2 linked regions of the Diceros bicornis minor genome follow. The protein of the gene in region 2 purifies or fractionates together with the protein of the main gene of each other region. This does not show direct contact. Links are inferred from orthologs where the notes say so. Each region holds a gene or a part of one and is shown on either strand. Other genes may lie near its edges.

Region 1 (7,351 bases), on a different chromosome or scaffold from region 2:
ACCCTGGAATTCCAATGGCTGGCCTCCTCTGCTGGGGGAATTCTTGAAGGGATGGAAATCAGAAACCACATCAAAGAAAGAGAAGGGCAGAGGAAGGAAGAGGTCTCCCGGAGGAAGAAGAAGGAGCGGGTTTCTGAAAATTAGGAGCCTGTCCCCGCGTTGAGCTGTGCGGTCGGAGATGGAGAAAGATGCCGGCTCACACACACACGTGCGTGAAGACCGTCCTTCACCCGGGACGCAGGAGGCCAAGTCCCCGAGGGGACCAGATGTGCCCTTTGCCCGTCACACCACAAGCACAGCCAGTGGACCCCCCCGCCACGGGCCTCTGGACCACTCCGCTCCACCGGCATGGAGAGCGGGAGTGGGGAGGTCATGGGGACTTTTGCGGCCACGCGGTCACCCCGGTGTGACCATACACACTACCATCCCGCCATCCCATAGCCCCGCCACCCCCTGCTCCCTGCTCTGTCCCCTGCCCCCAAGCCCTCCAGTCTCCCTCCACGGCCTGCACTTCTCCAGCCCGGAGGCTCTGCCAGTCCATTCGATTCAGAAGCTCTGCTTATGCGCCTTCAGGGGTCCCAGCAGGGCCCCCGCTCCTTTCCCCCACCCCTCCCACTTCTCCCCACACCCCACCCCTCCACATCCCCCTCACTCCCTGCTGCCCCAGCCTCCTCACCCCTCTCTGCTACTTCCAGGGGCTCCCTCTCCCCCACCAGCAGGGTCTTCTCATCCTGCCCTTAGTCTCTCAGGCTCCTTTCCCCCCAATTCCCTCGGAGACTCTCCCCTCCTCCCCACACCCCTTCAGGGACCCGTCCCCCATCCTCATCGCTCAGGCGTCCCTTCCCTGTTGCTGGTCTTCTGTGAACCTCCTCACCCCATCCTCACTCCCAGGGACCCTCCCGTCGCCCCTTACTCTGATTCATTACTCAGGGACCGCCCGCACCCTGTCCTCTCCCCATAGGGACCCCCTCAAGACCCCTCAACCTGTCCTCACCACTCAGGAACCCTCCTCACCTCCTCCTCCCCTCAGGATCCCGCACTCTGACCACACTACTCAGGGACTCCCCGCTTACTCCTATCTCACTGCCTGGGACTCCCTGACCCATCCTCTCCTCTCAGGAATCCCCCCATCACCCCTGATTCACGACTCAGGGACCCCCCAACTCGGATCGCAGTACTCAGGGGCCCCACGCCCATCCTTTCCCTGCAGGGACCTCCTTCACCCCAATTCACAACTCAGGCACCCCCCTCACTGCAATTTCACTATTTAGGGTCCCACGCCCCATCCTTTCCCCTCAGGGACCTCTCCTTGCCCTGATTCTCTACTCAGAGTCCCCTCAGCCCATCCTCTCCCCACAAGAACCTGCCCTCAACCCGATGTCACCACTCAAGGACCCCTTCCTCCATCCTTGCTACTCAGGGCCCCCTCATCTCATCCTCTCCTCTCAAGAACCCTCCTCCATCCTCCATCACTGAGGACCCCCCACCTCGATACTCAGAGCCCCCTCCCCCATCCTCACTACTCAGGACCCCCTCCCCCACCCTCACTACCCAGGGCCCCTCTCTCCATCTTCTGGGGGGGACCCTCCATCCCATCCCTTCCTCTCAGGGATCCCTCCCCCTGACTTCTTTAATCAGGGCCCCCTCTCCTGACCTCACTATTCAGGAACCCCCACCACCCCATCCTTTCCTCTCAGGGACGCAGCCCCCCCCCCCCCCGGCCTTTCCTCTCGGGAACCCCCTCCTCCCTCGTCCTTCAACACTCAGGGCCCCCCTCCCCCATCCCTCATCACCCAGGGCCCCCCTCCCCATCCTTTCCTCTTGGGGACCCCCTCCCCTCCCTCATCACCCAGGGCCCCCCTTTCCCCTCCCTCATTACCCACGGCCCCCCTCCCCATCCTTTCCTCTCGGGGATGCCCTCCCCCCTCCCTCATCACCCAGGGGCCCCCCCCTCTGTCTTTTCCTCTCGGGGACCCCCTCCTCCCGTCCTCCATCACTCAGGACCCCCCCCCCCTCATTACCCAGAGGCCCCTCTCTCCATCCTTTCCTCTCGGGGACCTCCCCCTCCATCCCTCATTACCCAGGGCCCCCTCTCTCCGTCTTTTCCTCTCGGGGACCCCCTCCTCCCGTCCTCCACCACTCAGGGCCCCCTTCCCCCATCCTCGCTGCTCAGGGCCCCCTCCCCCACCCTCACTACCCAGGGCTGCTCTCCCCATCTTCTCGGGGGGACCCTCCATCCCATCCCTTCCTCTCAGGGATCCCTCCCCCTGACTTCTTTAATCAGGGCCCCCTCTCCTGACCTCACTATTCAGGGACCCCCCACCACCCCGTCCTTTCCTCTCAGGGACGCCCCCCCTCCCCGTCCTTTCCTCTCGGGAACCCCCTCCCCCCTCGTCCTTCAACACTCAGGGACCCCCCCTCCCCATCCTTTCCTCTCGGGGACCCCCTCCTCCATCACTCAGGGCCCCCTTCCCCCTCCCTCATTACCCAGGGCCCCCTCTCTCCGTTTTTTCCTCTCGGGGACCCCCTCCCTCCGTCCTCCATCACTCAAGGACCCCCTCCCCCATCCTCACCACTCAGGACCCCCTCCTCTGTCCTCACCACTCAGGACCCCCTCCTCTGTCCTCGCCACTCAGGGCCCCCTCCCCCTGCTCCCCCGAGACCCCCCGCGCCGCCCCCTCCCCCCGTGCGCCCCCGGCCGGCCACTCACTCGGAGGCGCCCTCGCTGGTGGGGGACGGGCCCTCGGCGATGGCGGGGCTGATGTTGAGCGCCGGCAGCACCGGCTTCCTCCGGGCCAGCATCGGGGCTCCGCGGGCCGGCGGCGGCGCCTCAGCCGGGGCCCATAGGGGGCGGGCCGGGAGCGGGCGGCGCCGACGCGAGCCCGGGGCTGCGGCCGCGGCCTAGCCGGCGCCGGGGCGGCGAGGGCGGGCGGCCTGCCGACCGGGGCCGAGGGGCGCCGGGGGGCGCCGGGGCTGAAGCCGAGGAGCCGCCGCTGCCGCCGCCGCCGCCGCCGAGGCCCGAGCCAGGCTGACGCTGCAGCCAGAGCCCCGAAGGCCGAGGGAGGGGAGGGGAGCGACGAGATCGCGAGCCGGCCTCTCGCGAGAACCACCGCCAGCCGCCGCGCCGGGCCCCGCCCCTCCCCGCGGCGCGTGCGCACCAGCCGAGGCCGCCTCCCCTAAGGTGGAAGGGGCGGAGACCGACTCCAGGCGGTGCCTGGAGCAGCGCGCTCTCGCCTCCCACCGTGCGAGTGCGCATGCGCTGGGGACCGGGAAAGGCAGGGCGGGAGGGAGGCGGCGGTGGGGTTGATGAGCGTGGGCAGGTGGGCAGGGGAGAGGTCAGACCCTCACAGCCGTGTGGGTGCCAGACGGGGACTACATGAGCCAGTGAAATCCCCCAAAATTGTGAGAGGTGGACCCAGAGTCACTTTAAGTCTTTTTGCCAATTCTGGAACCCCCCCCTTCCCACTAGCACCTCATAATATCAAGTATCCCCATTCTTTTAAAAAGAGAGGTCGTTGTAAAACTTTTTTGTTGTGGTGGTAAATATACGTAACATAAAACTTACCATTTTGACTATTTTTAAGTGCACAGCTCAGTAGCAATGAAGCACACTCACATTGTTGTGCAACCATCCCCACCATCCGTCTCCAGAACTTTCCATGTTCCCAAGCTGAGACTCTGTCCCCAGGAAACACTGACTCCCCTCCCCTCCCCCAGCCCCTGGCCCCACCATCCACTTTCTGTCTCTGTGGCTGTGACTCCTCTAGGGGCCTCCTGTGAGGGGATCACACAGTGTCTGTCCTTCTGGGTCTGGCTCATGTCACTGCGTGTCATGTCCTCAAGGTCCATCCATGTTGGAGCAGGTGTCAGAATCTCCTTCCTTTTTAAGGCTGAATAATATTCCATTGTATCAGGCCGGCCCCGGGGCTTAACGGTTAAGTGCGTGTGCTCTGATGTTGGCAGGCCAGGTTCGGATCCCGGGCGCGCACCGACGCACTGCTTGTCCGGCCATGCTGAGGCTGCGTCCCACATACAGCAACTAGAAGGATGTACAACTATGACATACAACTATCTACTGGGGCTTTGGGGAGAAAAAAAATTCCATTGTATGGATGGACCACATTGTGTTTCTCCATTTGTTCATTGATGGACATTTGGGTTGTTTCCACCTTCTGACTGTTATGAATAATCTGGCTGTGAACATGAGTGTGCAAATATCTATCCAAATTCCTGCTTTCAATTCTTTTGGATATCTACTCAAAAGTGGAATCATTGGATCGTATGGTAATTCTATGTTTAATTTTTTGAGGAACCACCAAAGTGTTTTCCACAGCGGCGACACCATTTTATGAGAAAGGTCATTTTAACACCAATAAAAAAAAAGAAAAGAAAAGAAGGAAGTACGTGACACAGAATAAACGACAGTCATTTAAACGAGAAAAAGTTGACTTCATGAAAAACTCCCCGCATTGCTTTTCTTTTTGTCACGTCTCTGAGCACGGGTGTACATTTCATGGTGGGGTGCCCCTTTGGGAACCACATGGGAAGACACAGGCGCAGTGAACAGTCTCTTCCAGGGTCCATCCAGCCCAGGTGCCCTGGTCTCCCCGGCTCAGTCCTGCCGACTTCCTCTCCGGGTGCCCTTCAGACGTTCTTTTAACAATTGATTTGCAACGCCCTTTATGTGAAAGCTACAGTGCTGGACACCAGAGATACAATGTTTAAAAAACAGATACATAATACACATATACATAATTGCAAAATGTGACCATGTTCTAAAAATGCAAAGATGTAACCATAGCTCTCCCCTGATTAAACCTGTTCCCAGACACGTCTGCACCACCACTTCCACAGTCTGAGCGTTTTCAGTTTTGTCTCTGGCTGCTCCCACCCACTCACCCAAAATTCAGGGGAATGTTCATCTGGCCTCAGATAATGCCGTGACCTTTCTCAGCTCTGGGCGTTTCCTCTTTCTTTCTGTTCTGCCAAGTGATCTCTTCATCATTTTATTTCATTTTAGGCTGTGTATATCCATAGAGTCTTTTTTATTGAGCTATAACTTACATATAATAAATGCACAGTTCTCGAATGTTCGAGAACATTCGACTTTTACAATTGTATATACCCATGTAACCATTCCCGGAAACAAGGCGTAGGACATTTCTGTCACTCCGGAAAGTTTCTCAGTGCCCTATTCAGTTAATCTCCCTCGCCCTAATCAGCAGTGGTGTCCTGGTAAATGTTTAACAGCGGGCTTTTGAAGTAAGGAACTGGGGGAGGGGGCACAGAGAGGCTGATATATAATTTGTAACATTTGCCCATTTCTGCGGTGTAAATATTTCCACCATGGCTGATTTCCAGCTACCACGAAGCTGGAAAGAATGGTAACAAGAGGCTCCTATGAGCCAAGACGAGCTGGCCACAGCACACCACTGCCCCAGAGACACTCTAGATTCTGATTTCTATCCCCACTGATTCATTTTGCATGTTCTAGGGCCTCATAGAAATGGAATGGTACGGTACATACTCTTTTTGTGTCTGACTTCTTTTGCTCAGCACAATGTTTTTGCAATTCTCCCGTGGGGTTGCGTATAACACTAACTTGTTCTTTTTCCACGCCATATGACATACCATGGTGTATATTTTGGGGATTACCTTCTTGAGGAGGGTGAAGAGATCATATCTTTTCTGATGATCAGCGTTTTCAGTTCTTCTTGGTTCCTATTTGGGGGCTCAGCTCACATGCCACGTTTTCCAGCAAGTCTGCTTCTCCCAGCTTCTGCCAGCTACCTACTTGCAATTCCCAGGGCACCCTGTTTATTTCTGGTTTACAGCTCTCACCGCGTTCTGATGCACATCACTGCTCTTTCGTTTTGCCTTCCCTGCTAGTTACGAACGTTTTGAAGGCATGGAAGAGGTTGAATTCGTCTCCTCTCCCAGATCAGCCACTCGGATACAGTTGATGCTTCATACATTAATGCTACTTGAATGAATGAAACGGGCGTTCCTGTCCTCAGAGACGTAAATTTCCTACTAATCACCCGATTCTCAGAACTTGTGATAGTACATGAGCTTTTATTATCCAGCTTACAGTACAGACTCACATCCTCCACTCCTTTATCTTGTCTGGCCAGCGCAGTCTGCTCTGCAGCCTCTCCGTGTTAACATATCTCCCTGCTTATCGTTGGTTGCAATCCCCACTTTCTTCGTACATCAGTTTCCTGCTTCCAGAGACTTGGGTGTCTCCTAAATCACTTCCCTCCCGCTGAGAAATAAATTTCTAACAGCTTTGTTGATAGATTCAATGCAAAGTGACATTTATCTTGATTAGGCATGATCTAGTATTAATGTCACATGTGTTCACTGTTCCTATCTGGAAACGCACCCTGAACTTGATCGCTCTCACCTGTGCAGTGGATTAACCAAAAGGATTGCTGACCTGACCCCTTTGGAAAGCATTAGTACTATCTTGAATACCCTACAACCTAGGAATTCTGCTCCTAGGCATACAACCTAGGAAACTCTTGCTCTCATATAACCAGGAGACACCGACGCTATGTTCTCGATGGCAAAAATCTGGAAACTACGTAAATATCCATTGACGGAGGAATGGAAAAATATGTTCTAGCATTGTCCCACAAAGAAATATTGGGCACACAAATGACAACCACGTAAAAAAGTCTTAAAAACGTAAAATTACAGAAGACTGTCTGTGACACCATATTTTTTAAGTTTATTTTCCTTTTTTTTTTTTTTTTGCTGAGGAAGATTGGCCCTGAGCTAACATCTCTGCCCATCTTCCTCTATTTTGTATGTGGGACACTGCCACAGCACGGCTTGGTGAGCGGTGAGTAGGCCAGGGATTTGAACCTGCGAACCCTGGGCCACAGAAGCAGAGTGTGTGAACCTAACCACTACGCCACTGGGCCAGCCCCATGTGACACTATTTTTATAAAATGAAAATGGCTCAGCATCATTAGCCATTGGGGAAACGCAAATTAAAACCACAATGAGATACTACCACACACCTATTAGAGTGGCTAAAATTAAAAAAGTTGACAATACCAAGTGTTGACGAGGATGCAGAGCAACTGGGACTCTCGTACATTGCTGGTAGGAATACCAGCTGGAAAATAATTGGCAGTTTCTTAGAAAGTTAAAGGTACACTTACCATATGACCCAGCCATCACACTCCTGGGTCTTTACCCAAGAGAAATGAGCTCTTAGGTTCACCCAAAAACCTGAACACGAATGTTCATAAAGCTTTATCTGTAATAGACCCAAACCTGGAAAGAACCCAAATGTCCTTCAGTGGAGGAATTGATAAATGAATTGTGGCTTGAATGAATT
Region 2 (7,492 bases):
AGAAAACCACTAGGCAGAAAAGAAGCCACAGAATCCAGAGCCCACTGTGACAACCACCATTCTCCAAGGTGTTATCAGAGGATGGAGCACGTTGAAGAGGCAAAGAAAACTTGAGAAACTTACACAGCCGTACGCAAACTAGCATTTGGGACTCCTGACTCAGAGGACCAGAAGAGACCCCATGTGGCTCTTTGGGGTTACTTATTTACTTACTGCACGCAGTTCTGAACAGAATTTTATCTTGGTCACTGCTCAGACAGGAGGCTGGCCCAGGGCATCCCACATTTTTCTTCCAGCAGCAGAGTCCTAGACTAGACTGCTCTCCCCAACCTCTGAGAAAGAAAAGACCTGTGCCTCCCAACAGAATTCCCACTCCTCTAACACCCTTTGACATTCATCTTATTTCATTTCTGAGAATCATTCTCCCAGATGACAGGTGCACCTAGACACACATTCGAGGGTAGCAAACAGCATATTCAACACTCACACACACACACACAAACTCCACTTTCAAACTGATGACCTTCCTGCGGGCTGACATCTAGCCAAATTTAAAACCATAGAGGAAAAAGAAAGACAGTGAATCAGAGAGAGGTGCTCATCCAGGCTAGAACAGGGGCACCAGGGTTAAAAGATGCTGTAAGGATTGAAGAGTTCAGGCCTTGGAAATAGAAGGAACCTGCCAGCATTGCACATGCCCACTCCACCACAGGCAGAACCTCTGTTCTTTGCTCCCAGCCCCATTGCCACCACTCTCAGCAAATGCCAGCTAATGGGAGTTCCCAAATTTAATCAAGCCATGTGTACGGCTGGGCCGGTTTGAGAGAGAAAAGTGAGTGGAACCCTTCAGATGTTGCAAGCATCGTGGATGCCCAATGATAACATGGACACAGGCATTTTCTAAGGCTCTTGAAACCTTCCGCCTTTGACCAAATAGCTTTTGGAAGAAATAATTTCTGCCATCTTCTTTCTGAGTAACTTTGCATCCATCCCACCCCCACAAAACTGCTTCAAACTCCCCCTGAAGTTCTGTTGGAGAGAATGTTACAACAAACCAACGATAACTCCTCCTCCCACCCCTTTCCTCCCGGTCCCACCGAGATTCAAGAGTATTTTCCCACACCACTTGTGTGTGCTGTTCCAGGAATTATTTTTTTTTTAAGCTTTTTACGCGTTTTAGGCCTGCAACATCTCCCTGCATCCAAATGATTTGATTGGAAATGAGTAGCTCAATGGGGATTTTTTTTTCATGCATCTTGCCTCCTGACATACATACATCACTGGAAAAACCACAAAATCCAAGGAGCAAAAGGGGCGCTGGGAAGCAGGCCGAGAGAAGAAGAGGTCTGTATTTATAGGCAGCCCCATTCTGCGAGCAAAACCACCTTTTGACCACCTGCAGAATGCGCAAGGTCACGTGGTTTTCTGTGGGTTCTCTGCAGCGCCTTAATGTCTTACCCGGCACACGAGCCCCCATGGCATATAAACAAATCCACGAGCGGAAAAAAGAGAGAACTCACTCCTTAGAGAAGAAGCAAATGATAATAACAGCCGCAAGAATAATAATAAAGAATAACAATTACTACTACTACTACCACCACCCAGCCAAGCGTAGACGACAGCAGTACAGTAAAGGGCCACCCAGTGCAGGCTTTGCAAGATAAATCACAGAAAACCACATCGTGCCCACCTTGCCACCCCCCCCCACCCCCCATACAAACAGAATTAAAGGAAAGGGGACGGCGGGGAGACAGCGGAGGGAAGCAAGGATTGCTTTTTCCCCCGTAGGCAGCACCTACCTCCAGGGTCCGGATTTCTTTTTGTGTGAGGTCGTTGGAGGTAGCACATTTGGTCCTAAGCCCTTCCAGGTTGGAGATGCTCAGGTCTATCATGTTTTGGACCAACTCGCACTGCTGTAAGGCTTTTTGCAAACTCAGAGGCTGCTGCTCCTCGCTTTTCGTCATGTTTTCCTCATCCATCGCTTGCTCTGCAAGCCCCCTTCCCCTCCTCCTCCTCCCAGAGAGAAAAAAGGGGGGGGGGGAGGTAGTCTACCCCCGCCGCCTCTCCAACCACTGCGACTTCTCAACAATGTCTCATGAAGAAGAAACCCAACATCTCACACGGGGTTGAGGGGGTGGGGGTGGGAGGAGGGGACAGGAGCCAAAATTTATTATTTTATTTTGGGGTATCAAGCAGACTCCATTAGAATGTCTCCTCTCTCTGAGTCTCTGGTCCTTGAAAAGGAGAGATGCTGTTTCTCAGAAGCAAACCAGGTGATGTGATGCTGTCTGTACACTTAGGGAGGAGGAGGAGGAAAAAGAGGAGGAGTGGGGGGAGGGAGAAGGGGAGGAGGAAGAGGAGGGGGAGAAGGAAAACAGCGCTCACTCTTTACACACCGGCTCCGTGAAGGACAAAATTATATATTTTTGGCTGGCTTGCTTTTATGTCAAAAAAATTCTGCTTTGCCCCCCTCCCAGTTGCAGTGACACGGCATTGTCCAGCGTTTGGGGGCTTTAGCGCGTTCTCAAGATGCTGTCTGCATTGCTCCCGCGGCTGCGGCGGCGACTGCGGCTGGCTGCTGTCTCCTCCTCGCGCTGCTGCTGCTGCTGCTGCTGCTGCCGCCGCCGGGCTCCGGGGGTGACGGCTGCTGCACTCGCTCCTGCCTCGCTCCACACCGACATCTTGCCTGTCAATCAAGGGGGGGTGGGGGGAGCGAGGGAGCGCCGGCGAGGGATGGCGAGCGAGCGAGCGAGGGACCTGCAGGGGAGCGGGTTGGTGGAGAGGCGCCGTGCGCGCATCCGCCCCAGCCGGGCCCCGGCCCCGGCGCGCCAGGGACCCGCCGGAGGAGGCGGGGGAGGAGCGCGCAGGCTCGCGCACCTGGCCGGGGAAAGGGCCGGCTCCCGGCGGGGCCAGGGGGAGCGGGGGGCGGGATTTCTCGGGATACGGAGCTCGCGTGGCAAAGTGAAATTACTAGCGGGCGTGCGTGCGAGCGAGCGACGGGCGGGCGGGGGCGTGGGGGAAGCGCGCGCGGCGGCCGAGGCTGCTCCGGGGCGGTGGAGGTGGCGGGGAGGGTGCCAGAGCGCGGAGGCTGGGCGAGGAGGCGGGGAGAGGGATTTGGTGGCGGGATGGGGGTGGGGGCCACTACTACAGCAGCGCTCTCGCGAGACGAGGCCAAGTACTGCTCAGCAGGTGCGCTCTGGCTGGGAGCAGGTGTGCGCCCAACTTTAAAACCCGTAGTGCGTGCGGGAGAAACATCAGCGTGAACCTGGGCACGTCCTCTCTGGCTTTCTGGCTCGATGTGCGTGTCTGTCTTTTCGTTCATTTGTCCTTTCTTGTTACTGGTGGAAAATAAAACATACCTGATGATCTTCCATGAGCTGTGGGAAGCGGCCTCGCAGCATTGGTGCCCTGGCCTGCAGTTACCCTGCCGGTGGCTGTCCATTTGGAGGGGGAAAGGGGCTTTGCCTTAATCTGACTGTTATTGTGTCCGACATGCCCTGAAAGATCTGATCCCAGCCTACCTAACCGACCTTATATTAGCAAACTATGGCCTCAGGGCTAAAAATGCTTTTTACATTTTAAAATGATTGGAAAAAAATCAAAAGAAGAGTATTTTCTGACACGTGAAAATTATAAAGAATTCACATTTCAGTGTCCATAAATAAGTTTTATTGGAACACTGCCACCCTTTCATTTATTGTCTGTGGTTACTTTGCATTATAACACCAGAATTGAGTAGTTGCAACAGACACTGTATGACTTGCAATGCCTAAAATATTCACTAATCTGGCCCATTACAGATAAGTTTGCCAACCCCTGATTAAATCACCAAACATATCCTTGCCTTGGAGTTCTTTGCACTCTATATCCACTCTGCCTGGACCACATTTCCCCCTAGCTCTCCTGGTTGGCTCCTTGTCACTCAGGGTCAACTCAAATGTCATCTCAGAGAGGCTTCATCTCTGACCACCTCAATTAATGGTACTCTCAACACACATTGCCCAAAGGATGTATTGAGGATTGTTAGCAAGAGACATCTCTTTCTCCTGGTGACCAGAGCTCCATGCCAGGGAACTGGGCTTACAGGGCAGAGTAGACTCAGAACACATGGTACAATATGTGCCCCTTAAAAGGAAGCCACTTGAGAGGTATGGAGAATGACAGCCAGTGAAGGCAAACTCTTTTTTTTTTTTTTGTGAGGAAGATCAGCCCTGAGCTAACATCCGTGCTAATCTTTCTCTTTTTGCTGAGGAAGACCGGCTCTGAGCTAACATCTATTGCCAATCCTCCTCTTTTTGTTTTTTTCCCAAAGCCCCAGTAGATAGTTGTATGTCATAGTTGCACATCCTTCTAGTTGCTGTATGTGGGATGTGGCCTCAGCATAGCCAGAGAAGCAGTGCGTCCCTGCGCACCCGGATCCGAACCTGGGCCCCCAGTCGCGGAGTGCGCGCACTCAACCGCTAAGCCACAGGGCCGGCCCCAAAGGCAAACTTTTTTTAAGACTGTGGGCCATGGGTTTTTTTTGCTCATACAGAGCTGAATCAGCATTTTCAAAATCTCTCTGTCATGAGGAGCTCAGGAGAGTTCTCTATGTTCTCACGCTTTTGGACTATGAAGTTTATGGATTTCAATTCTCTGGTAAAATTCTCTTTTCATCTATTTTCTCCATCTTTTGCTTTGTTTTTCTTGAACATATTAATCATGGTTATTTTAAAGCCTTTGTCTAATTCTGATACCTCGGTCACCCGTGGGGTCTGTTTCCATTGACTGTTTTTCTCTGTGTTTTCAGTGATGTGGTCCTGTCTCTTGGCAGGTCTTGTAATTGTTGAATGCCAGGCATTGTGTATGAAAAAATACAGAGTCTCCAGGTGATGTTATCCAGCTCTGGAGAGGGCTCACCCTTTCTTTGCAGGACAGATGGTGTGGGGACTGATCATCTTGATTCTATCAGAGGCTGAGCTGAGTGGAGACTGGGTTACAGGTCTGATAAGACACCATCTAACTTTGACCCCCATTCCTAAGGCTTTGCCTTTCAGGGATTCCAAATGAGAACTTGGGGTGTTCACCAAAGCCCCTCCCCTCTTGTCCTGAGCACTCATCTTTGTCTCCATAACTTGGCAAGACTGCTGAAAACTGCTCTGTTTTTCAGGGGCTTTCTGGTTGGCTTCTTAGCCTCTTGGCCTGCACTGTTTCGGAATTTGCCAAATGCTTTAAGGGGAAGACTGCCATCCATCAAGCTCACTTTTCTGCCCCTCCCTTCTCTCTGGGATATTAGCCTCTCAAGTCCCCGATTGTGTCTCCAACCCTGTGAGAGTGCCAAAAGTTCTGCTGGTTTCTCTGTCCCCCAGCAGCAGCCCCCTTAGCTGGGAAAAGTCTAGATTCCATCTGCCCAAATTTGCAAACGTCCCCAGGGAAACAGTGGCTGCAGACTGTCAGCTCGCCTCAACACGGTTCCCCTCTCTCCAGAATCCTGGCCCCTTCGGTCCTGGTTGCTTCAGCAGCTCTCTGAATGTCATTAAGCACATGATGATGAAATGATGATGATGATTTGATCTGACTTTTCTAGTTGTTTTCAAAGGAAGTGGAAGTTTAAACAGTGAAAATAGCCCAGAGGTCAGAAGTCATCAACTGGCAGAGCTATAAGCACCACACAAATGCGTCTGTTTGACCCCTCCCCTTTTTTCAATTGATTGCTGTAGTGGACATTTGTTATACTTTGCATCCACCTAGCCTCCTTTGAATATCCTTCTATGTTTGGAAAATATCCCACATTATGAGTTCCACCTCTCCATAAGAGAAACTGAAGCACTTTTCCAGCACCTTCCTTGCAACCATGTCTCATGAGATCTAAGCTCTACCATTTGACACATCACATGAGATTTCTGCTGGAAAGTGAGAAACAAAGGGGAGGAATCTATCTGCTAGTGAGCATAGCAGCCAATGCACCTGTTTCCAGGTGTCCTGCCCCTGTGTAAGCTTCATGTCTGTGCTGAGAGGCATGGCGTGGTGTTCATAGGGGCAGCCCCACAGTGTGGTTTCACATTAGTCCTGGCTGCACAGTCCGAGCCTGGCTCTCTTGTCCTCCTGGAAATTCTATAGGCTTTCTAACCACCTGTCTTAGTCTGCCCAGGCTGCCATAACAAAATACCATAGATGAGTGGCTTAAACAACAGAAACTTATTTTCCCACAGTTGTGGAGGCTGGAAGTCTGAGATCAGGGTGCTGGCATGTTTGGGGTCTGGTGAGAGCTCTCTTCCTGGATTGCAGATGGCGCCTTCCCGCTGTATCCTCACATGGCAGACGTGACTCATATGGCTTCCTCTTCTTATGAGGCCACAGCCCTATTTGATTAAGGCCTCACCCTTTTGACTTCATCTAACCTTAATTACCTCCTAAAGACTGTAAAGATATATGGGGGGTTAGGGCTTCAACATATGAATTTGGGGGCACACAATTCAGTCCATAGTACCGCCCTATTAAAGCAATTCTGCTTAAACGACCTGGAGTAGATTGTGTCGTTTGCAACAAAGAACCCTGACTAATATTCTTGCCAATAATTCCAAAATCAGGAAATACTACAAAAAATGGAGATTTCTGGCCTTTCTGGGAAAATGGGAAGATCTGGCCACGTTGGGCAACTATTGGCTAGATATGAGGCACCTGTCCCTTCCAGATGGGACACAGGCTCTCCAGTTCACCACAGTCCCCACCCAGCCCCCTTCATTCATTATTTGTTTCCTGCCTGGCCCCTGTAGGCATTTGTGTTGCTCCTCCTGGTATAGCTTAAGGTGGTTTGCACCTCAGACCAATAAGAACCTCCCCAATTTCAAGCTTGGAGAACAGGAGCTAACTGATGAGAATTGTGTTGTTGTTTTTATTGTTTTATTTCATCCCAGAAACTGCATATGACCTCTGAATGATGCGTGTCTCAGAGTGGCTTTATCCATGGCAGAAATAAATCATTGTCATTGGGCTACTGAGTGAGCTGAACTTGGCAATATCTCATTAGATCCCATAGCTTTTAGTTTCAACTCTAAGAACAGTCTCATATTCAGGTATTAGAAGTCCAGTCTAGTCCAATCAAAACTTCATTCTCATATCCAGTTTAATACCTTCTTCCCCACCCCCTCGAGTTGGACCCACGGATGGCTAATGAATCTGCAGTGGAGACAAGGGCAGGTGTGTCCTTTCCTGCCTCCTCTCCAGCTCACCTGGAGCAGAGAGAGGAGTGGAAAAGGGACCCTGAGCTGAGAACAGGTGAGTACAGGTATAGTACTCTCTCGAGTGTCAGATGTCCCCACATGTCCTGGCAAGCACTCACATGCTGGCTTTTACATGAGACACACTGGGGGATCTTTGGAGACCCCCGTGGGGACTCATTGCACGCGTCAGCTGACCTCTTGCACACCTCTTTTCCATTCATACCCCAGGACACACCCCACATTCTTTTCCCCTTGCCTGGCAGGCTCCCCTCTTGGGTGAGTCTTTTCAG

What was found. Proteins that work in one complex are often made in the same cells at the same time.
Region 1: the proteins of KSR2 (region 2) and MAP2K2 purify together in Homo sapiens (affinity purification with mass spectrometry; 3 studies listed by BioGRID and IntAct, with this or other methods). This does not show direct contact. The link is inferred for Diceros bicornis minor from reciprocal best matches to the Homo sapiens genes KSR2 and MAP2K2.

Annotation. Positions count from the first base shown.
Region 1 is NW_026691553.1:3,137,699-3,145,049, forward strand, and holds the start of MAP2K2 (dual specificity mitogen-activated protein kinase kinase 2), read right to left. Parts: upstream 3,005-7,351; 5' UTR 2,803-3,004; coding exon 2,711-2,802; intron 1-2,710. UniProt on the Homo sapiens protein: Catalyzes the concomitant phosphorylation of a threonine and a tyrosine residue in a Thr-Glu-Tyr sequence located in MAP kinases. Activates the ERK1 and ERK2 MAP kinases.
Region 2 is NC_080774.1:15,001,183-15,008,674, forward strand, and holds the start of KSR2 (kinase suppressor of Ras 2), read right to left. Parts: upstream 3,021-7,492; 5' UTR 1,980-3,020; coding exon 1,800-1,979; intron 1-1,799. UniProt on the Homo sapiens protein: Location-regulated scaffold connecting MEK to RAF. Has very low protein kinase activity and can phosphorylate MAP2K1 at several Ser and Thr residues with very low efficiency (in vitro).